Linked DNA regions of Caenorhabditis elegans. The protein of the gene in region 2 purifies or fractionates together with the protein of the main gene of each other region. This does not show direct contact. Each region holds a gene or a part of one and is shown on either strand. Other genes may lie near its edges.

Region 1 (6,827 bases), on a different chromosome or scaffold from region 2:
GTAAAAATAGTGAGGAGTGTGATGGATACAGTGAAATTTGGAGTACGGTTTTTTTTTATTGAAATACCTTTTGATAATACTGTGATGGAATTTTGTAGGAGCGCTGAGACTGACAAAGTTGATAATATCAAACTTGGTAAACAATTTTTTGTGCAGTCTTCAATGTTTATTGACTTTTGTGTTATATTCATTTAAAAAAAATCAATTTTTATGTTTTTAATACGCGTTCTGTCTGTAGGCATTTTCAACACAAGTTACGCCTGCCTTGTAGGCCTTGAGGTAGGTTTTTCGCCTATATGGGAAAGCTAGATTCAACTGATAGTTATGATTTAGGTCTAATTTTATATTTCTTAATGTAGCTATTCATTTGATCCAATTGTTTGATACCGCTTGTCTAGTGATAAAATGTAAAATTTTTCTTATAAAAATTGAAATTTCGTTTTCCAGTTTTCGCCTAATCTATGTAAACCTAGAGGTTAATCAAAAATAATTATTGTTTCCACAACATTTACACTTCAATTATGGTTGAATTGTGTGTAGATTACAGTGGTTCAAATTTGCAAAATACTCTAAATTACTAAAAAAAAAAGCCTACATTTTTTTTGGGTAACTTACCAAAATTTTAACTGAAAATTTTGAAAAATCTAATTATTAGAAATGTCTTAAAAACTATAATGATTCAAGACGATCTGATATCATATGAAAACACTAAGTTTTTAGATTTTTCATGCTTTCCGGTCAAAGTTTTGGCAAATTGCCAAAATTTTGAAAAATATGTGCTTTTAAGGAAATCCAGAATAATGTCGCATTTTCCGACCCCTACAATATTTTAATAAAAATAATTAAAACAAAACTACAGTGTAAAAAATGTAGAGAACATTTTTTTTGGTCGACTTCTAAAATTATGAGTGGCAAAAACTGATTAATTTTTGACATTAAATTTTAAAAATTCAATAAATGTTCAAAAAATATCCAACCGTTTTTTATGATATTCGGTCATTTTGACACCAGAAAAGTAGTTTTCTACATTTTCCCCCTAATGACAAAGTTTTGGCAAATTGTCAAATTTTCAACTACATAGAATTGAGCTTAATATGAAATTTGTAGCAATGCCGCAAGTTCAAAACTTTCAAATAATAATATGCAATGAATTAATAGAAAAGTTGGCCATTGTTCAGACTTTAGGCGACAAAATTAGCGCCACTTTTTGCCGCAAAATTAAAATTTTCAATTTTTTTTTTTTTTGAAAAATTGTACTTTTATATTTGGCACACTTCATAAAAGTCTTCAAACATTCCCATCTTTGATTCTGAATGTTTACCAAAGGAAATTGACATCAAAGTTTGCTCGTACGGTTTTCATACTATTCTGTACCTACAGTTTAAACTATCAGCCTGTAGTTCAGATGTCCAAACCAAAAGTCTAAACTTTTAAACTAGAATTCTTATCAACTTGAACTCTCGAACAGATCTGACTCCAACATGTCGCCAACAAAATTTTCTCAATCAACATTTTTACTATTCTGCACATGTGATCATTTTTATTTCCTTCCAAAAACCGATCTCCCTGATCGGGTATACTTCGTTTTTTGTTCAATCTGTTTTTCTGAACTCTACACTCAAAATTCCTAGTATTTTTGACATCTTTTCTCTCTATTTCTGACCTTCTTATCACATGATAACCACGTTGTTTCTTCTACGAGTGATATTAAGATACAGTATAGCGACGGAAAAGTTTATTGGAAGAAATATTAAAGAAATCTAGCAGAATTTAGTCAAGAGTCTTGAAAACCTCTTTTCCAGTGCATTTGTAGATGTACTGCTGCTCAACGGAGTGTGAGCCATGGGTGTTTGTAGCAGTCACTTTGTAAACTCCTTGGTCCTCTTGGGTAGGGTTCTGGAAACATTTTCTTTGTTATTAACTTATCTAGAATGCTCATTTCTGGAAATTCATATGAAAATATAGAGAAGTATTTGTACTTTTAGAAGATAGCGTTATTTTAGTGAAGATTATGAAAAAGTGATCAAAATTGGCATTTGATTTAAAATGTGCCAAGTGAGTATGCCGATGGGTGTTACGGCATTGAGGCAATTTTTTAGCAACTTTTTGAAATTTTTAATATAAAGTAATTTTATTTTCAAAAAGTATGAATATTCCCATTGCCTAATTTTCATCATCAAGCTTCATTTTTGAGCTGAATTTCAAAAAAATTGTATGTGAATTATGCTGATGATCGATGGTGAATCTACCCAGTTATGGTGCATCTGACAAGTTATGGTACATTTGACCAGTTACGGTGAATCTAACCAGTTATGGTGCATTTAACTAGTTATGGTACATTTGACCAGTTACGGTGCATCTAACTTGATATGGTGCATCGACGGTGAATCTAGCCAGTTATGGTGCATATTTATTTTTGTTGGAAAATTTTAAAAAATCAAAAATAGTGCATGAAAGTTGACGTTTGCCAAAAAAGTGCCGTTAAAAGTGTTTAGACAAACGACAACTTTCAGACACTATTTGAACTTTTTTTTCAAACTTTTCAAAAAAATTTGTATTTTTTCCAGATAGAACAAACCTTTCTCTACGTTTCTATGTTAATTTTGCATGAAAAAAGTTGGATTATCATTTTGAAATAAACATTATTGTGGGTTTGCCGAAAAAATACCGCACAGCCCTTAAATATATGTTCGATTCCGATAAATGAAAAAAAAAACTTTCCGAAATTGTATAGCCTATTTTCAATTTTTGTTCCTGCCGGAGACCATCCCAAACTTTCCAGGAACGGTTTTTAAAAGAATGGCCGACATTTTCTAGGTCAATAAATTGTTTCTGAAGTTTTTTACTTTAAAATAAATGTGAAACAAAATCTCGAGGCAAGTGTTTCGAAGGTCAATATTACACCATGTTCTTACAATTTAAGTTTCCCTCTAAAAACCAGATCAAGTGTTCTATCCGTTCCTTTCTTCTTATTCTCTTCTTAATCTAGAATCCCGATCAGTTTATCAGTATTACAAAAATCTTACTTACCTTGATATGCAGTGTAACTGTGAACTTGCCAACCATCTTCTTGATCTTTGACACGTAACGATCACCAGTCAGCTCTTTGTCTTTCAAAAACCTACAGTAGTTAAGGTTAGGGGTTCATAAACCAAAATCTTTTACCATTTAACTGTTGGTTGTGGATTCGCATTACAGATGCATTCGAACAGAACTGATCCGTCTGGAGCAATGATAAGCGATGGAGCTTTCTCGAAAAACGGAGCCAAAACCATTCTGAAACTAACCTTTTAGAACTAATAAGATGGCTGAACATATGTAATGAAAACGCTCGAAGAGCTTCTCACTGATCAATTCCGTCAGTAACAGGTGACGGAAGCTGAGAGATTTGAGGGGCAGAGATGGAGAGATGAGTAGGCGGAGGGAGATGAAAGAGCACTTTTTTCTGAAGCCAACATGTTTAATAATATTGAGAAAAATGTTGAGGGCATTGATTGATTTGTTGGTTCAAAGCAAGTCAATGAATTCGATACACGCGATGAACAGCAATTGAAATGGCATAGAATTAAAGTTTTGGTTAATAATTCACTTGATTCTATGAATTTTTTTAATTATTGTATTTTTCTGATTATTAACATATCAATTTCTTATTCTTATAGAGTATTTTATATTTTCAGTCATTGATAGGACTCCATACTTTCTGGACGCGAAAATTTCCAATTTTTTTTCCCAAAACTACCTTCTATGAAAAGTTATTTATTCATTGGAAATCTCGAATAAAATTATCATTTCAAACATTGAAAAATGTTTCAGCATTGAACGCAACAGTTTATTTTCTGTTTTTTTCTACTATAAAACTTTTGTAAAATCACTAAAAAACGAAGATGGATCCCACTTTAATATATTTATGAACTGAGTACTAAAAGAAAACAAAAATAATTGTATCCAAGTTTATTTGAATTTGTGAATGGTGATTTTGGTGCTTCTCTCCGGAGCTCTGCCTACACAGTGCGGCATCGGATACACTTCATCTAACCTCTCTACCGGTGTATTTTCGGCTCGCAAAAACAGTTCAGAACTAGTAATATTAATAAGAATTGGCATTCGAAGATACTTGGCGGCCCATATCGCATCTTTCAGTTCCTCTCGATCCAATGATTTAACATAGTCAACTTCCCACGTAGAAGTGCTCGGAACTTCGACTCGATGACGGATGCACCAGGTGACAACCATCTTCATGGTAATTCCTTTGACGTTCGGAACTGGTATCACATAGTTGGAAGCTTTTCCCTGTTGGACTTGGCTTGCCATCTGGGAGAGGATCTCCGATTGATTCGGTGGACATTTCGAAATAGTGATCGTCGAAAGTTTTGAGTCTATAGAGCTCTTTTGATGACATGATGTACCTGGAAATTTGAATTGTGAAACAGGAGGGGTTTATTAGGCTCCGCCCATATAATGGTTGTGGTGAGAAGTTTGGAGGAAGGTACGGAAAAAGATATCACAAAGACAAGGGGCAAAACATTTTTTTGAACTACTCTGGGCATTCTAATTTGCTAGAAAGAAATGCAACTCTGGGGAAAATATAATAAAAAACACATTTTTCTAGGTTTCAAAAAACATTTTTTTAAACTTTCAGTGAAACAAAATCGTTTCAAAATCGACTATACATATGCTTGTAACCCGGGGGGAGCAATACATAAATTTCGAAAAAAGTGAAAACTTCAATCAGAATCGAGCTGTCTGATGGAATGTAAATTATGGGTGTTTCAAAAAGAGCACGGAGACGTGGTCGTTGTGGAAACCTAATGCTACATGTAATTATAAAAGACACAAGAGGACTTGAGCCCGCTGAGTTGAAAAGAATATAGACGTTAACTTGAAGTGAATGAGATCAGAAGATACCTGTCGCTTTGCTGGAAATTTTTGCAAAATTGTACGGAATCAGAGAATTGTTTTTTTTTAATATTTGTCACCGCATTTATACCTTCCAGTTTTGAGATTTTTCGTGGGAATTTTTGCAGAAAATCGCAAAAAAGTTTCATGGAAAAATCTTTCAAAAAACCAACAATTCAGAACCTCAAATAATCAAAATATTCTGAAAATTCTGAAAGCCGAAAATCGCCAAAAATTATTTCAGTATCTAAAAACAACTAACAATTCAAAACCTCTGATATTCATTATATTCTGAAAATTCAAAAAACTACAGTTTCAGAAGTATTTAAATTTTCTAGAAATTTGAAAATTCCGAAAAAAACAACATTCAAGAAATAGTTCTGAAATTCTAAAAATTTTGGATTAAAAATTTTGAAATTTCCAGAAACATAAACTTTCAGTTCTTTTTTTTTTGAAATTTCAGAAATTAATTTTTTTACAAATTGAATGTAATATTTTTGCAACTTTTATATTTTTCAGAATTTTTTGAACATCAAAGTTTCAGAAGCAACACGGAACCTGGTTTCGACACGAACAATGTTTCAAATGCTCGAGAATAAGCTCAAGCTTGAGTTTGAGCCTGAACCTAAGCCTAAGCCTAAGCCTTAGCTCAAGCCTGACCCTAACCTATGTCTTAGCCCAAGCCTAAACTTCAATGCAAAATTAGAAATATATAAATAATTTATTTATTTTTTGGAATCATTATATTTTCGAGTATCTTCTTCTTGATCACTGATGCAGCATTCCTGGAACCTTACTGAGCGCAGACTTTGGCAAATGAATCTGTTGACCATTGTCCCAGGCAACAATGCAGCAGTTTTCGCCCATCAACTGCAATTCAACAATCTCATTCTCTATTCAGCTCCTGGCCACCACCGCCAATAAAATATTTATTACTTGCCATATCCCCCCAATCTATGTAAAACGTCATAATCCTCGTACCTGGGTGACTTCTCCCGTCATATTATACATGTGATGTCGCATCGGTTCCCACGCAGTGTAGTTGATGTCGAAAAGGTAGGAGCATTTTGGATCTTGGAATTCTTCACATGCTATGCAACGGGCAAGGGTGTGGTTGTTTCTGGAAAATCAGAGACTTAATGCTTTACGGAAGTTTGGAAGTGTCTTGAAATTTTGATTTGCAGATCTATTTATCTTGAAGAAGACCTACCTACCTGCCTACCTACCTATCATAAATAAACGGAAGTGACAGCGAATCATCAACCATATAACGGACAAACGGGCGCCAATAGATTTCAATCGCGTCACGCTTCCACTGAACAACATCCGCCACGTCGACATTCATCGGCATACACATTTCGGCGAGGAACGGCATGTTGTAGAACTGAATGTTTCCATTTTTTGAAAAAAAGTTTGGGTTTCGCCACGACGACTTACATGAGCTTCTCTCTTCAGCTCATCGCAGGCTTCTGTGTCCGATGGCGCCACAAAATGATCCCCGTCACGGAGATAATTGAGAACTTTCCCAAAGTGTTTAGGATCTCGATCGATGAAAATCTCGTCCCCAGTCTTCCAACGATCACTGACCATCACCGCAAGCACCTAGAATAATGATGTGTCGATTTACGGAGCTTGTGTACTCCTCGAGGAAAAGTTTATTTTATTTTAGCTTATAAATTCATTCAAATCGAATATTATTTGTAGCAGGGCGGCAATTATTTTTGGCAATTTTACAAACTGGTCTATTGCACCATGTTGCTCCAACATTTTCCACCAAAAATTATGGTTAGCGGCAATTGCCGTTCGGGAATTTTTTTGTCGACAAATTCGGCAAATCAGTAAATTGAAGGTTTGCCGATTTGCCGGAGATTTTTAATTCCGGCAACTTGCCGGTTTTCCAGGAATTTCAATTCCACCAACCGGCAATTTTC
Region 2 (6,067 bases):
TCGTTATGCCAGCGAAAAGTTGAATGCACAGCCTGGATTCTTCGCATCACTCGTTCCAGTGGTTATTTCAATTCTCGGAGAGACTTTCCCAGAACTCAGCCGTGATCCAGTGACCGTCATGGATATCATCAACGACGAGGAGAAGCAATTCCTGAAAACGTTGTCTCGTGGACGTGTTCTCTTCCAACGCGCTGTTCAATCGCTTCCAGAAGGAACCATGACGTTCCCTGGAGATGTTTCATGGAGACTCTACGATACATATGGATTCCCAGCTGACTTGACTCAACTGATGGCCGAAGAGAAAGGATTGTCTGTCGATAATACTGCTTTCGAGGAGGCTCGCAGGAAAGCCATCGAGACATCATCAGCTGGAACTGGAAAGTTCCGTGACACGCTGGATTTGGATGTTCACGCATTGGCTGAGCTTCAACAGAAGGGAGTTCCAACTACCGACGATTCGCCAAAGTACGCTTACACGTTTACTGGAGAAGGATCCGATGCTGTGTACAGTATGTTTTTTGTTTGTTTTTATGAACTTGTAATAATTATTTTTCTTCAGAGTTTGAGCCATGCGTTGGAAAGATTCTTGCTATTCGCCGAGACGGAAAGTTTGTCGATCAACTTGCTGCCGGAGAAGAAGGAGCCATTCTTCTCGATCGGACAAATTTCTACGCCGAGCAGGGAGGTCAGATCTACGACGTCGGAGTTTTGACAAAAGTCAATGACGAGTCGAACGAGTTCAACGTGAGCAACTGCCAAGTTCGTGGTGGATACATCGTGCTTGTTGGATCCGCCGAAGGAAGCTTCTCAGTCGGTGATCAGGTCAACGAACGATTCGATGAAGACCGGAAGCAACTGATCATGAAGAATCACACCGGAACTCATGTCCTCAACTATGCTCTTCGCAAAGTTCTCGCCGATTCGGATCAGAAGGGATCACTCGTTGCTCCAGATCGTATGAGATTCGACTTCACCAACAAAGCTGGAATGACTGTTCAGCAAGTGAAGAAAGCCGAGGAATACGCTCAACAGCTGATTGACACAAAAGGACAAGTTTACGCCAAGAACTCGCCACTTGGAGAAGCCAAAAAAGTCAAGGGACTTCGTGCGATGTTTGATGAAACATACCCAGATCCAGTTCGTGTTGTCGCTGTCGGAACTCCAGTTGAGCAACTTCTCCAGAATCCTGATGCAGAGGAGGGACAGAACACGACTGTCGAGTTCTGCGGAGGAACGTGAGTACTAATTCTTTTTATATTTTATGATGATACCCGTTAAATTTTGATATAATTTTTATAATTTCAGCCATCTCCAGAACGTGTCTCACATTGGCCGCATTGTCATCGCATCGGAAGAAGCTATTGCTAAAGGAATCCGTCGTATCGTTGCATTGACAGGACCAGAAGCTGAAAGAGCCATTGCCAGAGCCGATCGACTGACTGCTCGATTAGAAGAAGAATCGAAGCATGCCGATAAGAAGGATGAGCTCTTGGCCAACAAGGATAAGTTCAAGGCTCTCCAGAAGAAGATTCAAGAAATTGTCGATGAAGCCAACGGAGCTCAGCTGCCATACTGGCGAAAGGATTCTATCCGTGAAAAGGCAAAGGCCATTCAGAAGACTTTGGATGGATACACAAAGGCACAACAAGCCGCTGTCGCTGAAAAGGTTCTTGGAGAAGCCAAGGAACTTGCTGCTGTCGCTGAGCAGCCTACTGTTCTCGTTCACGTCTTCGCCGCCAATGCTAACAGCAAAGCCATCGATAATGCTCTGAAACTTCTCAAGGACACAAAAGCAGTTATGGCTTTCTCTGTGAATGAAGATTCTGGAAAAGTTTTGTGTCTTGCTAAAGTTGATAAGGTGAGAAATTTGAAATTTTGAAACAATTCAGAAAAATAATATAATTTTTTCAGAGCTTGGTGAGCAACGGCCTGAAAGCCAACGAGTGGGTGAATGAAGTTTGCACAGTTCTCGGTGGAAAAGGTGGTGGAAAGGACGCAAATGCTCAGCTCACCGGAGAGAATGTCGATAAACTTGATGCTGCCGTCGAACTCGCCCAGAAATTTGCCCTTGCTGCAATCAATTAATTTCCCCAATTTTCAATCTATTTCCTGTTTTTCATATCGCTTCCTTTCCTCTATTTATTGTTGTCTGTTGCATTCTAGTTCATTGCTCTCCCTCCCCGTCATTATATTTATTTCGTATTTCTATTTTATGTTTCAATTTGTTTGCTGGTTTGTCGAGGTTTCAAAATGTTTATGCAGTAAATAGAGGCCAAACTTTTTCCCATTTCACGAAAACAACAATTTTGAGTGGGTTGGACGCGACAGCTGGACAGCTGCTCAACTCGCGGATCAACAACACCTCGATCGATTTCAAAAAAAAAAGTACCTTCGACTTGTCAGCCAACAAGTTTCGAAAGATTCTGGAGATTTCTGAAAGTGACGTGGCATTACACTTCAGACATCTCTAATTTGTGGCACAGCTATCTGAACATTACAATGGACAAAAATGTGAAGAACAACAAAAGAAACGGAACGGCAATGAATTCCAGATGGCGATGAATGTGTTTTACGGAGGAAAAGAGCAGATTTTTGCAATTTTGCAGATTAGAAAAATGATTTGAGAACAAATTCCAGACATATGCTTAAGAGATAAGTTTCTTGATTCCCGGTCGTGTACTGCTCTGGGACAATCAATTGATAAAAATATTAATATATCTATCCAATATATTCAATTATATATCCAAAAAGATATATCCAATTGAATTCGGGCGATTTTTCGTGTTTTATCATGAATTCTCTTGTTTTTCTAATGAAAATCGATAGTTTTGGACACAAATTTTATAGTTTTTTAGAAAATTATAAAATTTCATTATAAAATACGAAAAATCGCTTAAAACAGCCTTAAATTCAACAATTAGTAAATTAATTTAGTTGTCCGAGAGGAGTACACGGTTTGTCCGAGAGGAGTACACGCTTTGTCCGAGAGGAGTACACGGCCGAGAATCTATGAAATTCATTTCCGCGCGAAATTCGAATTAAAAAGTCTCAGCGGATGATTTCTAGATATTTGAAGGGCTATAACAAACTTTTGAGAGAATTTTGTGATGTTTTGCTTATTCACATGGCCCTGTCAATGCATTGGCTCCATTTTTAAGTCCGGCAAATGGAAAAAGTGGGTTACTGTACAACTTAAAGGCGCACACTATTTTTCGTCGATTATGGACTATTTCGATCGTGGCAAGAGCGGTAACCCTATTTTCGGGAGAAAAACACTGAAAATATTGGAAGACAAGAACTTGGAATTCAAATAATTTCCGGTGTAAATCGTGACGAGACCCTCTTGCGCCTTTGAAGTCTCAGGTCAGACGTTTCAACTTGAATGATAATCTCTGATATTTCAATGAATTTCAAAATATTTCGTTTTACACCGTAGAAACAAGTGACTCAGACCATTGGTCCGTTCGTTTCACCTCTCGCCACCCACCACTTCAAAACACCACGTCAGCAAATCTCTCCCCCGCAAGAGACTCCAGACGCACAATTGGTTCCCCCGAGCCATCTTCCTTCGGGAAGCTCCCCCGGTGTGGGCGGAGCTTGAGCATCTGATAAAAGCAAGGTCCGACGCGAGGAGAAGCTCATTGTCATTCTTTTTTGACTATCCCCCTTCTAAACACCATGGCCAATCGCACCACCGCCGGAGGAATCGGATTCGCTGTCCGCCAAAAGGTTTGGTGAATTTCAGTGATTTTGTTAGGCTATTCTTCATTTTTCAGCAAGACTCCAAGTTCATCGACAAGGAGGCCACTCTTCTTCTCGAATGGATCAAGAAGCTCTCCGGTGAGAACATCTCTACATCCGGAGAACGCGACAACTTCCACAACCTTCTCAAGGACGGAACCCTTCTTTGCAAGTGAGTTTTTGTTACCTAGTATTGTTCAACAAAATCTTAAAATTTTCAGAGCCGCCAACGGAATCGAGGCCGGATCAATCAAGAAGGTGCAAAAGCCGATCTCGACCTTCGCATGCATGGAGAACATCAACGCATTCGTCGAGTTCGCCAAGAAGCAGGGAGTACCAAATGAGGAGACATTCCAGTCTGTGGAGCTCGTCGAAGGACGCGATCTTTTCTCCGTCTGCGTCACTCTTCTCTCGCTCGGCAGAGTTGTAAGTTTATCTAAAATTTGACTTCAAGCTATAAAAATTGTAATATTTTCAGCTCCAAAAGGCCGGAAAGACCAACCCATTCGCCTAAAAACCAACCCATCCAACTCAAGAATTCCAAAAATGGCCAAGCCCTTGCAATGTTTCACCCGATACCTTCTCATATCCTAATAATATGATTTTCTTCTTTTCTTCTTTTTTTGTTGTACAAAACAAAATAAAGTTGTTTGGTCAACAAAGCTCGATTCTTCTCTCTTTTCTGCCTCAAGTCAGTGACTGCTCTGATGGCACGCAGCTGTTCCAAAGATGTGTAACGTTTCTCTGGTTTCTATACGCCGGGATGTGATCTCTAGTGGGCTTCACAGCAAAAACATTAATGGATTATTTGGGGGCGAATGGCGAGCACAGATTTTGCTCCGATGGCGCTCGGCAACTAGTGATAGGTTGAGGTGGTGTTGCAAAGTATGATGACAGTCGGAAGATCATAAGATTGATCATACAACTTGGTAGTTGACAATAAGAATGAAATTTCTTGTGGTTGTAGAGTTGGTAAAACTGCGCGTTCTAAATAAATTTGACGATCTATTACCGATCGAGGTTCAGGCACGGCAGGAAATTTCAATACTGGAACTTTTCGAGTTGTATTGTGCAAAAACACAATTTTCCAAGAAATACCATATTTCTTCTATTACTTTTGCACTGGCTTTAGGACATCTCTGACGTTGAAATTTTTAACTTTGTAGGGTAAAAAATAACTACTGGATAATTAATAAAAAAAACTTTAAATAAATTCTTCATTACGAAAGAAGGAGCCTAACTTTAATGAACATTAAACAACTCACGATGTCTCTATTTAAATATTAAATAGAGCACATCTAAAAGATTTTTTTTAATTGAACGCACTGACTTTGAGTTAATTCAAAAACTTTTTTTCAAATTTAGCTTCATCATTTTTGTTTTAGAGATATCTGCCAAAATAGCAGTAGGCAAGAGTCAGGCATGAATGTGCCTACGTGGAATGCTGACAATTCTCTGGTAATTTCCTCATTTTTCCAACAATCAGTCCACTTTATTATCAGTCAGTTAAAATTTCTACTTCCCTTGGCTCTACTCAAAGTGCCAATCAAATGAGGAATGCTCTATTTACAAATGTATTTAAAAATTGCAAATGTTCACTAGTTTTCGGTCTTCATTATTTTTGTTTTCTCTTGTTTTTTTCGGTTCCAATTTTTGTTCTTACCAGCGTGGGAGTATCGAAAGCTGTGAGCCAAGTGCAATAATGTCACCTGATCTGATTTCTCAAAACATTCAAAAAACATAAAGCAAGATCCCATCGAAAATTGCAAAGGGAGCTTTCAGAAGAATACATAAAATTATGTAAAACACCACATACGTACTCTATAATTATCCGTTATGTTATTGCAGTTTCAGCGTTGTTTCAGAGGTGCGGAGTATGTAAGATTGTAGAGGTAACTGAGTGTAAATTAGGTGTTTGGTCGCTTTTATCTGGTGATTAAAATCAGTATACTTATTTCAACAGGTACGGTTCTTAGGATTTTAGTACTATAGTTATTTAGAACTAAATTTAAAAACCAGTGCACATTTGAAATTCCCAATTCTCCACAGTTTTCAGTTTAAAAAAATTTGAAAACCAGTGCACATTTGAAATTTTATATTCTCTATAATTCTCGGTTTAAAATATTTTAAAAACCAGTGCACATTTGAAATTCTCAATTCTCCACAGTTTTCAGTTTAAAATATTTTAAAAACCAGTGCACATTTGAAATTCCCAATTCTCCATAAATTTCAGTTTAAAAAAATTTGAAAACCAGTGCACATTTGAAATTTTATATTCTCTATAATTCTCGGTTTTAAATATTTTGAAAACCAGTGCACATTTGAA
Region 3 (9,934 bases), on a different chromosome or scaffold from region 2:
ATAAGGTGTCAACCTGGAAAGCATCAAAACTCAATTTGTGAACGATCAAAGCCGATCCAGATGAGAATCGTTAAATGAACAATCACAAAATATATACCAAAGCAAACAAAAGAACTGATACCTCCCCTAGTCATCCCTTTTCGTCACAAGACCCTTTTTTTCTCCCACAAAATTTAACTTTCAATGACCTTTCACCTCAACAAAGCCCTAGAGATCACTAGATCCGGAGAGACTTTGACGAAAAGTCAGCTGTTGTTGTTGGGAATGGGGCTCATGGAAAACGAAAAACGAAAAGATAAAATAAAACTCAATGGGGGGGGGGGACGGATGAAAACTATGTTGTGCTCATCATACGAGCATCACTTGGCCCAGTGCCAGAAAATACTAGGGAAGTAATATAAGATAGCGAGAAAAAAAAATGTTAAGAAATCAAAAATCCGTATTGAAATGGTTGTGTGTGTGTGTGTTGCGAGAGTGTCTGAGCTTTCAATCGGATAAGAAGAAGGCATGTCGGTACACAGAAAAGAGCCGAACTATTGAAAATATGACGGATATTGCGATATGTATTGTTTACTGAAGAGCCGAACGGATAGAGCACGTAACAACTATCTCTGAAAAAAAGTACAGTAGTTCTCGAAATTCATGGTCGTGGAATTACACGGCCAACCATTTTTCAATAGTTTTCTTTGATGAAATAGTCAGGAAGAAATTAGTGTTAGGCTTAGGCTTAGGCCTGGGCTTAGCCATAGGCTAGGTCTTAGGCATAGGTTTAGACTTGGGCTTCTGCTTAAGCATAGGCTTATACTTAGGCTTAGGCTTAGGCTTAGGCTTAGGCATAGGCTCAAGCTTAGGCTTAGGCTTAGAATTAGGCTTAGGCTTAGGCTCAGGCTTAGGCTTTGGCTGGAGGATGACAAGAGAAAAAAGTAAACCCACAAAATGGCAAAAAAAAACCTTGAAATCTACTCAGAAAAAACATCAGATTTATGTGTTCTTCTTAGAAAAAATGATGCAGAAAAACCGCATCTGGAGAACATTTATTTGAAAAGGATTCCCATTATTTTTTGCGAAAAAAAACGAATCTAAAAACAACGGGAAACAAATGGAACGCGATGTTTTTTTCCGTTTTCAGAACACTACGAAAACTGATTTTTGAACAAAACTAAGCCAACTCACGGATTTCTGGCTTCCCTAATAAATTGAAATGGAAGAATTTGCCGAACTAGGCCATTTTGGCTCGGCCATATCTGGGGTAGATTTACGGCGCGTTGCGTGTCGCGTCGTGAGAAATTTTACTTCTAAATGCATTTGTCCGTGTGGAGTACACGACTTTCCCCAGGCGTTGTTTGGCTGGCGATTGTCAATGGAGCGCGAAAAATTCAATGAGGAAGGCCAGAACCCCGTGGGCCAACTCTGTTGGATTTCGAAAAAAAATCGATTTTTAAAAATTATCCAAAGAAAAGAATGTTTCGTGCTGTTCGTTTCAAGTTTCGAAACAAACAAACAAAATTCGAAGAAAAGTAGCATAACTTGTGCTCCTGCTTGTGCTCCGAGAGCCGGTGAGCACAAGTCGAGTGGCATCAGGTCAAAAGTAAAGAGATGCTCTCGGGGGGTGTGTTGTGCTCTATAACATCTGAGGGCTCTTGGGGGCTCTGGAAAAAATGGGTAATTGATTTTATTGTTTTTTGTCGTCTGGACGTCATGGAAAACAACAACTGACATGTTCTGAAGGAACGGATTTATTTATTAAAAGAAAAATATTTTTTTAAAAATTCCAGAGAAAATGGGAAATCAGAATTACAGACAAGAAAAGTCATAATTTAACAAGAAAAAAAAAGTTAAAGGCACATTTTTGACGGGCTTGGATGGTCCGAGAGACTAGTAGTACCAGAAAGAAATTGTAATTTGTGATTGGGATTCAATTGGACAGGCTTAGATTCTTTGGTTGGACATCAGGTCGCTCTTCACGCTCTTCTCGTCGAGGTCCGACATCTCGGAGGCCTGTACTTGGAAGAGGGACTCGAGTCCGAGGGACGCCTTGAGAGCACGGACCGAGGAGGCGTAGAGCATACGTCTGCGGACTGGGGCGTTGTCTGGGCAGCTGAAAATAGGAGTTTGGGAAGTGGAATGTGGAAATACATGGAAATTTTTTTAAAGAGATTCTTGTTAATGGCCGACATTTTGGTGGCCGAGTTTTTCTAGTTGATGGCCGAGGTTTCCTAGTTGATGGCCGAGGTTTTCTAGTTGATGACCGAGGTTTTCTAGTTGATGGCCGACATTTTGATGGTCGAGTTTTTCTAGTTGATGGCCGACTTTTTGGTGGCCGAGTTTTCCTAGTTGATAGCCGAGGTTTTTTAGTTGGTGGCCGACTTTTTGGTGGCCGACTTTTTCTAGTTAATGGCCGACTTTTTGATGGCCGAGGTTTTCTAGTTGATGGTCGAGTTTTCTAGTTGATGGCCGTGTTTTCCTAGTTGATGGGCGACTTTTTGGTGGCCGAGGATTTCTAGTTGATGGCCCACTTTTTCTTGTTGATGGCCGATTTTTTGGTGGCCGAGTTTTCCTAGTTGATAGCCGAGTTTTTCTAGTTGCTGGTCGAGTATTTCTAGTTGATGGCCGAGTTTTCCTAGTTGATGGCCGAGTTTCTCTAGTTTATGACCGACTTTTCCTTGTTGATGGCCGACTTTTTGATGGCCCAGGTTTTCTAGTTGATGGCCGAGTTTTCTAGTTGATGGCCGAGGTTTCCTAGTTGATGGCCGGTTTTTTGGTGGCCGAATTTTTCTAGTTTATGGCCGACTTTTTGGTGGCCGAGGCTTCCTAGTTGATGGCCGACTTTTCCAACGAGAATTTCAGTAAATTCGTTCATTTTTATCAACTTTCTTGGTTTTTTGTTTGGACGATTTTCTAGATTTTCCAGACGCGAAATTTTACGCTATCTGGTCTCGACACGACAAATTTTTGTTAAATTCAAACAGGTATGCGCCTTTAAAGAGTACAGTAATTTAAAACATTCGTTGCTGCGAAATTATAGTGTTACCGTTTTTTTAACGCAAAAATGCGGACAATTTCGAGCATTCCGGCTTGATCTACGTAGATCTACAAAAAAAGCCGGAGTAGAGACGCAGAGTTCTCAACTGATTTCTCATGGTTAAGAACGTGCTGACGTCAAATTTTCTTTGGGAAAAAAATCGCGCATTTTTTCTAGATCAAACCGCAATGGGACAGCCTGGCACCACGTGTATGTGTAATATTTCAATGTTGAAACTCACTATTGAACGAAGATGACCTTATTGAGTGTGCTGGTTCCCTCGGCTCCCTGTCTTTGGACAGTAACCTCGACGTCGACGGCAGCATATCTGCAAAAAAGGATGAATTGAATCGAGATTTCCGACGAGTTTTGTTGTTTGATAATTATCCAGACAAGAAATTTTGCGGTTTTTTTGCACCAACTGGTCTCGACACGAAACTTTTTTGTTAAATTCAAAATCATATGTGCCTTTAAAGAGTAATGTAGTTTCAAAATTCCATTGCTGCCAAATTTTCATTAATGTTTCACAGTTTCTTAATATTTATGTGAATTTTTTTCGATAATAAAACATTCCATGGAAACAATAATTTTGAAATTACAGTACTATTTAAAGACGCACACCTTCTTTTCTCTGCATTCATTTAACTAGTAAAAATTAGTCGTGTCGAGACCTAGCACCGTATTTTGGCGCAAAAACACAACTTTTCGCGTAGAATACACGCGACATTTAGGCTCAGACTAAGACTTAGTGTTAGGCTTAGGCTTATTCTTAGGCTTAGGCTTATGCTCAGGTTTAGGCTCAGGCCTAGTCTCAGGCTTAGGCTTACCTGCACTCCTTTCCGTCCTCAACAAGCTTCTTCATCTCCTCAACGAACTCGGCGTACGGAGCATTCTTCTCTCCGACCTTCTCGACGACGATGGCGGTGTCATTTTTGTCAATCTGATTATTTTTTGATTTATTTTTTTTCGATTTATTTATTTTTTAAATTTTTAAAAAATCAAATTTAGAAAATTATTTAATTATTACGGGAACAGAAAACTCTGAAAATGCGTACTGCACAACATATTTGACGCGCAAAATACATCAAATATCTCGTAGCGAAAACTGCAGTAATCCTTTAAATGACTACTGTAGCGCTAGTGTCGATTCACGGAAACCATTTATAAAGAAAATTGCAATAATTGAGCCCGTAAATCGACACAAGAGCTACAGTACTCATTTAAAGAATTACTGTAGTTTTCGCTACGAGATATTTTGCGCGTCAAATGTGTTGTGCAGTACGCATTTTTTTTTTCGCAGAATAACTCACCTTGAAGATGATGTAGCTGTGCTGATGCTTGTTGTGGAGAAGATCGTAGGCGTTCTTGCAGGATGGATCAACTTTGACTCCGGAAGCCTGTACTCAAAGGTGTTTGTAATATTTTTCTGGTTTTTATGTCAATTTTTGTTTCCTTTCAAAATTTTCCACGCGTGTTAAAACAATTGTTAGAAACTCCAAACTTGATTTCATTGTGATAATCTTAAAAAGCACAGCACATGAACGGTTTGGTGGGTGATTCTTCAAGGGGATCGGGCAGGGTGGGAAAAAAGTAAGAAGGGAAATGAATACGCAATAGAAGATTTGAAAAAAAAAGAATGGTGAGGAGATGGAGATTGAGAGTTCCAGTGGGGGAAAGTACACTATATAAATATAGAAAGCTTTACAAGAGAGAGAGAATATAATCGTAAATGAGAAGGGATTTACCACGCATTTCACTAAACAATAAAGATACTGAGAATCTGAGGGGATGTCTCAACTTCTTCATAGTACGGAAGGTTACCCGGCACATTGTATTAAATTAGTGGGCACACACAATCACTTGCCCCCAGGAAAAAAACAATCGTCAATCAGGAAAAAAACAGATAAAAATAGAGGATAAATTAGCAATGTTAAGAGGTGAAAATGTGAAGAAGACGCTTAAGAAACATCATCGAAACACATCGCCGCAGTCATGTTTTCAACGGATGATTCTTTGAGGACACCAAAAAAAATGAACAAGTAGTGAGGTTGGTAAGAAAAAAGCACCACAACAACGCACTAGCACATTCAAAGAGCACACGTGAAAACGATCAGAAATCATCAAGCAATGGAGAAAATGCGACAGACAGAGACGAGAATAATCGAGGATGTGACGGCGACGACGACTTCGGAAGAGACCCGTGTATCTAGTGATCTCCGTATTTCTCGCCCAACTTGTTGAGGAGTTCCTTGTGGCTCATCTCGCTCTCGTCAGACACCTGAAATTTTAATAATTTGATTTTTTTTTTCTAATTGTAAAAATTATCGAGATTTCTCACCTGGAACTGAAGGATTTTGCCGGTTCCGAGAGAAGTCTTGATGGCGGCGGCGGACGAAGCGTACACCATCTTTTTCTTGATAGAAGCACCATCTGGGCAGCTGGAAAAAAAATTAGATGGTACAATAATTCACCAATAGGATCAAGCGCTTACATCTGGAGGAAGATGATCTTGTCCATCTTGCTCGTGCCGGCTCCAACACGACTGCACGTGAACTTGAAGTCGAAAACGGCGTAGCGGCAATCGGTCAGATTATCGGTTCGAGACTTCACGTCCTCGACGAATTTGTCGAAAGCGGCCTTGGAAGAGTCATCATAGTCGTCTCCAGTGATGCCGAGCTGATCCTGAGTCACCGCGGCTTCCACGATCACCTTGTTCTCCTGGAAAATGTTGCAATTTAATAGGGAAATCAATAATGTTCATCTAAAACAATTAATTTGAGGATTTTTCAAATTTTTCAACAAAAAAAACAAAAAGTGGCACGAAATTTTTTTAAATTGATCTGATTCAGATTTTATTTTTTAAAAACTCACGTCGATCTTGAAAATGATGTAGCGGTACTCCTTGCGTCCCTCGGAGAGCTTTTGGAAAGATGTCTGCACATCTGGGTCGACCATGACACCGGAACTCTAGAAAACAGGCACACATAGGTTAGGTTAGGTTAGGCAAAAAGAAGAGAAAACCATTCCATTTTAGTGTGAAATTTTGGAAATTCAATGAAAAAAAAACACGCCAAACATAACATTCCAAATTTCTTTCAATTTAAAAATATTGAAGCGAATTAAAATCTCAAACTCACCATTTTGAGATGTTGTTGTTGGTTTGTGGTGGGGAAATAGAATCAAGTTGAGTTTCCTGCAAGAAAAAATGATTTTAATCAATCAATAATCGAATCACGAGAAGGGAAAAACGATAGTGAAGAAGCTCAACACAAAGAAAAAGTGTAACCCAGATAAGAGTCATAAGGGTCATAAGTGTGAGGTAAATTGGTAAAGTGATGGAAACAGAGAGAGAGAGAGAACAAGAGCCAAGAAAGTCCATTGTGATTGGCACAGAAGCAGGATGAGAAAGACGCAAAAAAAAAGAGACGGGGCCGTCCCTTCGGCCTAACCCCCAGCCCCAACAACACAACCGCCAGTCAGAGTGCTTGCCTGTGCGAGCGCGTCCGCTTAGATAGACGAGGACGAGGGACACGAGGAAAATGAAGAGACGAAGAGATAGAGCGAGATAGTGACAAGTAGAGGAGAGGGAGCGGAGAGAAAATGAAACGGGCAGCAACAGCAGCAGCAGCACCCAGCCCGAATGGTCATCTTTTCCGTCCCCTCCCGGAGAGAGAGAGTGAACGATCTGAAGAGCTGGTAGAGAAGAGAGTGAAGAGAGAAAATAGCGAGAACCGAGCAAACATTCGCCATGTGCAACACACACACCATTGTCCCCCGACCTTACTTGCTCTGCCCGAAATACCAAAAAAAAACAGATACGGACTACCTAGTGGTGAATCCGTTTGCACTTTCTCCCGGGCTTCAGTTTCTAGAAAGTACTGACAAAATTAGAAAAAAGTAGGAATGCACTGCTATTGATCGTATGAATCATCATTCAGCATCGAGGAGTACGTTATATACACTATGGTATCAACTGGGAAGGAGAAAGATTAGAAAACCACCCGTTTTTGTGTTGTACACAACAACGAGGAGGACGACGACGGTGTATGAGTCAGCGCATGGCGGTACGAGAATGACGGAGAGGGTTTGGAACAATTTTTGAATTGTTTCCAGACGTTAAAAATATTGAAAACAACATCGATTTCGGCTTTGAACAAGGGGCAAACGAAAAGGACATACCCGGAGGAGGACACACACACAGTGGAAACAATAGTTGATGAGAGTAATTAGCGAAAGGAACTCGGTGCTACGAGACAGTCGAAGCGTATAATCTCCACTTAGCGTACGCGCAGACAACTACACCGCCCATCTACTACCCCCCCCCCCCCCCCCGACATATTCTCTACTTTCGGGTTATTTCAACATCGGGTGAAAGTTCAGTGAGAAAAAAAACATATCATTTTCCTTGAATTCAAGTCGGAATGAGCATTATTAGCATAGAAGTGTTCAGATGGTTTGCGTGGGCGTAGAGAAAGGGCAAATTGACTGTGAGGGAGCCACCAATTGATCGAGGAACGAACAAAAACGCCAACGACGTGGGAGGAGTCAAAGTCATTAGCAATTGCGAAACAATAAGACACGCTCATTTCAGAAATAAAAAAATGAATTAGTCATCTTGAGAATTATTTTTAGAATCTTTTCTAGTCGCTCAGTATAATAATTTGACAGTGTATTTCAAGACAGTGTTTTTCGTATGCAAAAATATTAAATAGTCCAAGAAAACTCGGACGATTTAATTTAAAAGGGGAGTAGAGTTTGTAGTATTTTGCTTAAATAGACAAAAACTGGTCCAAAATCACCGAATTTCATAATGAGACTTCACAAAAAATTTCCAAAAATTTTTCATGGCCGGCCAAAATTCGAAAAAATGGCCAACTATTGCTAAAATCTGAAATTTCGCACACTTTTCTTTGTCACAGCCGCTGGATTTTAGTTTTTCTGAGATTATCACCCTTTAATCCTTATTTTGGTAATTTATCTCGCGGAAATTCGTTGATTGAGACACTTTTTGAGCCGATGGGCATCCAAAAATGATAAAAATTGTATGCCTATCGGCCTAAAAGTTGTCTCAATCAACGAATTTCCGCGAGATAAATTACCAAATTAAGGATCAAAGGGTGATAATTTCCGAAAAACTAAAATCCAGCGGCTGTGACAAAGAAAAGTTTGAGAAAATTCAGATTTTAGCAAAATTTGGCTCTTTTTTTCGAAATTTTGACCGGCCATAAACATTTTTGGATAATGGACCAGTTTTAGTCGATTTAATTAAAATAGCCACAAACTCTACTTCCCCTTTAAATGGTCTCCCAATAAGCAGCCGAAATATTTGGAAAACTGATGATTAGCTACAAAATTATGAAAAAACGAACGACTGTGAGAATTGTTCAAGGACAGTACGACTGCGTATCTTGTGTTTGAACGATGTGTCACTCACACACTTCTCATGGAGACAGACACATGTATTGATTGTCGTCGCCGGGCTCAGTTCGTCAGACGACGAAGGCCAGTCAAATGGTTTCTCAAAACGAGAGAGGATAGAAGAATCAATTGAGGAATATGTCGAAGTGCCAGATGTTGTAATGTGCGACACACGGAGTCGTTGATCGTCGCATCTTCCGGCACTGCTGCAGTGTCCTCCTCAACTACACTACACAACCGCCGCCGCGACCCCACTTCTCAAGAGTGTCCCCGTCCATCCGGCTGTTGGTGTGCCCAGTCAATAGAGGAAAAATTCAAATGGAGAAAAATAAGGTCGACAACGAGAAATGGATGATGACACATGAAAATTCTGGAATCTAAAACAATACAGAACAAAAGTGATGAATCATATATTTTTCAGACATGAAAGCGATCACAGAACGGGGGAAAATAGACCGAACGAACAGAAAACGTCCCGATGTTGCGCCCAAACGCGACTGATTCATTCAAATGTGACCCAGAGAGCGGTGAAGAAGCGGAGCGCCCGCGCTGCGCGCCGCCTGTCCGTTTCGTTTTTTTTTTTCGTTTTCCCCATCGATTGACACAATGGGCCGTCGCCTTCGTCACTGCCGCTGCTGCGCCTTCTTTCTGAATCGTCGGTCCTTGAAAATTAGGGGGATTTCTAGTATTTCGCAATAGCCATGGGACCCGAACAGAAAAAGTGGAGGTTTCGAAACAGAAACTAAAAAAAAACAATTTGAGGAGACACCGGAAATGAGTGAGACGTGACGAAAGCTGAACATATTCAATGGATTTCAATGATGAATAAAATAAAAAAGTGCAATTTTTTTAGCAATCTGCGAAGATTTCATGAAAAACTCGACAAAAAGCAGAGAGAACGGGAGGAACTAGCAAAATAAAGGGGAAAATGGGGAAAGTGAATGATTTCCGCAGACAAGAACAATTTTCGAATAAATTTCCCGCTAAAAAATGAAAAAAAAAAGCGTTTAAATTGCGAAAATTGACGGAGAAACAAAAAAAAGATGACAAAAAAGTGTTCAGCGGATTTGAATTCAAAAATGTTGATTTCGTGGCGAGACCCGATGAAAATTAACGGTGGAGCGCACTTGGTTAATCCTTATTGGAAAGATTTTTAGAGCGAAAATTAAAATTAATTTAATTTCTAAATCGATTTTCAGGCAATTTGCGGATAATTTCTGGCGAAAAATGTTAGAAAAAAAATTTAAAAGCTTTTCGACAACTGAACTGCCTGACGCAAATAACAAAATTACACAAAATCTTTGAATTCTCTCACACACAGAGGGAACAGAAGGCGGCAACTGTGATCTCACACGTGAGCATCATTATAATGTTGCGAAATTTGTTTTAACATTAAAATGTTGAAATCTTATCGAAACTTGGAATCCGAACAGAAAAGTTTAAATTTTAAAACCAGTTCCGCAGCGCAGGGAAAAGTGTAAAATATGCAAATGA

What was found. The genes of interacting proteins can lie anywhere in the genome.
Region 1: the proteins of cpn-3 (region 2) and oig-2 fractionate together in Caenorhabditis elegans (co-fractionation; one large-scale study listed by BioGRID). This does not show direct contact.
Region 3: the proteins of cpn-3 (region 2) and unc-60 fractionate together in Caenorhabditis elegans (co-fractionation; one large-scale study listed by BioGRID). This does not show direct contact.

Annotation. Positions count from the first base shown.
Region 1 is NC_003280.10:13,004,889-13,011,715, forward strand, and holds oig-2 (Ig-like domain-containing protein), read right to left. Parts: upstream 3,277-6,827; 5' UTR 3,276-3,276; coding exon 3,166-3,275; intron 3,122-3,165; coding exon 3,031-3,121; intron 1,897-3,030; coding exon 1,771-1,896; 3' UTR 1,725-1,770; downstream 1-1,724. Other genes in the region: F18A11.5 (BTB domain-containing protein), read right to left, coding at 5,665-5,766, 5,878-6,016, 6,123-6,280, 6,334-6,498.
Region 2 is NC_003279.8:3,984,300-3,990,366, forward strand, and holds cpn-3 (Calponin-homology (CH) domain-containing protein), read left to right. Parts: upstream 1-3,640; 5' UTR 3,641-3,678; coding exon 3,679-3,729; intron 3,730-3,776; coding exon 3,777-3,913; intron 3,914-3,962; coding exon 3,963-4,167; intron 4,168-4,219; coding exon 4,220-4,255; 3' UTR 4,256-4,400; downstream 4,401-6,067. Other genes in the region: aars-2 (Alanine--tRNA ligase, cytoplasmic), read left to right, coding at 1-509, 560-1,235, 1,306-1,858, 1,912-2,085.
Region 3 is NC_003283.11:1,471,367-1,481,300, reverse strand, and holds unc-60 (Actin-depolymerizing factor 2), read right to left. Parts: upstream 6,216-9,934; 5' UTR 6,163-6,215; coding exon 6,160-6,162; intron 5,990-6,159; coding exon of another isoform or gene 5,894-5,989; intron 5,741-5,893; coding exon of another isoform or gene 5,514-5,740; intron 5,461-5,513; coding exon of another isoform or gene 5,361-5,460; intron 5,301-5,360; coding exon of another isoform or gene 5,229-5,300; exon of another isoform or gene 4,517-5,228; intron 4,420-4,516; coding exon 4,333-4,419; intron 3,963-4,332; coding exon 3,850-3,962; intron 3,351-3,849; coding exon 3,264-3,350; intron 2,099-3,263; coding exon 1,930-2,098; 3' UTR 1,725-1,929; downstream 1-1,724. Other genes in the region: F53E2.2 (Actin-depolymerizing factor 1, isoforms a/b), read right to left, coding at 5,229-5,300, 5,361-5,460, 5,514-5,740, 5,894-5,989, 6,160-6,162. UniProt on the Caenorhabditis elegans protein: Depolymerizes growing actin filaments in muscle cells; required for the assembly of actin filaments into the functional contractile myofilament lattice of muscle.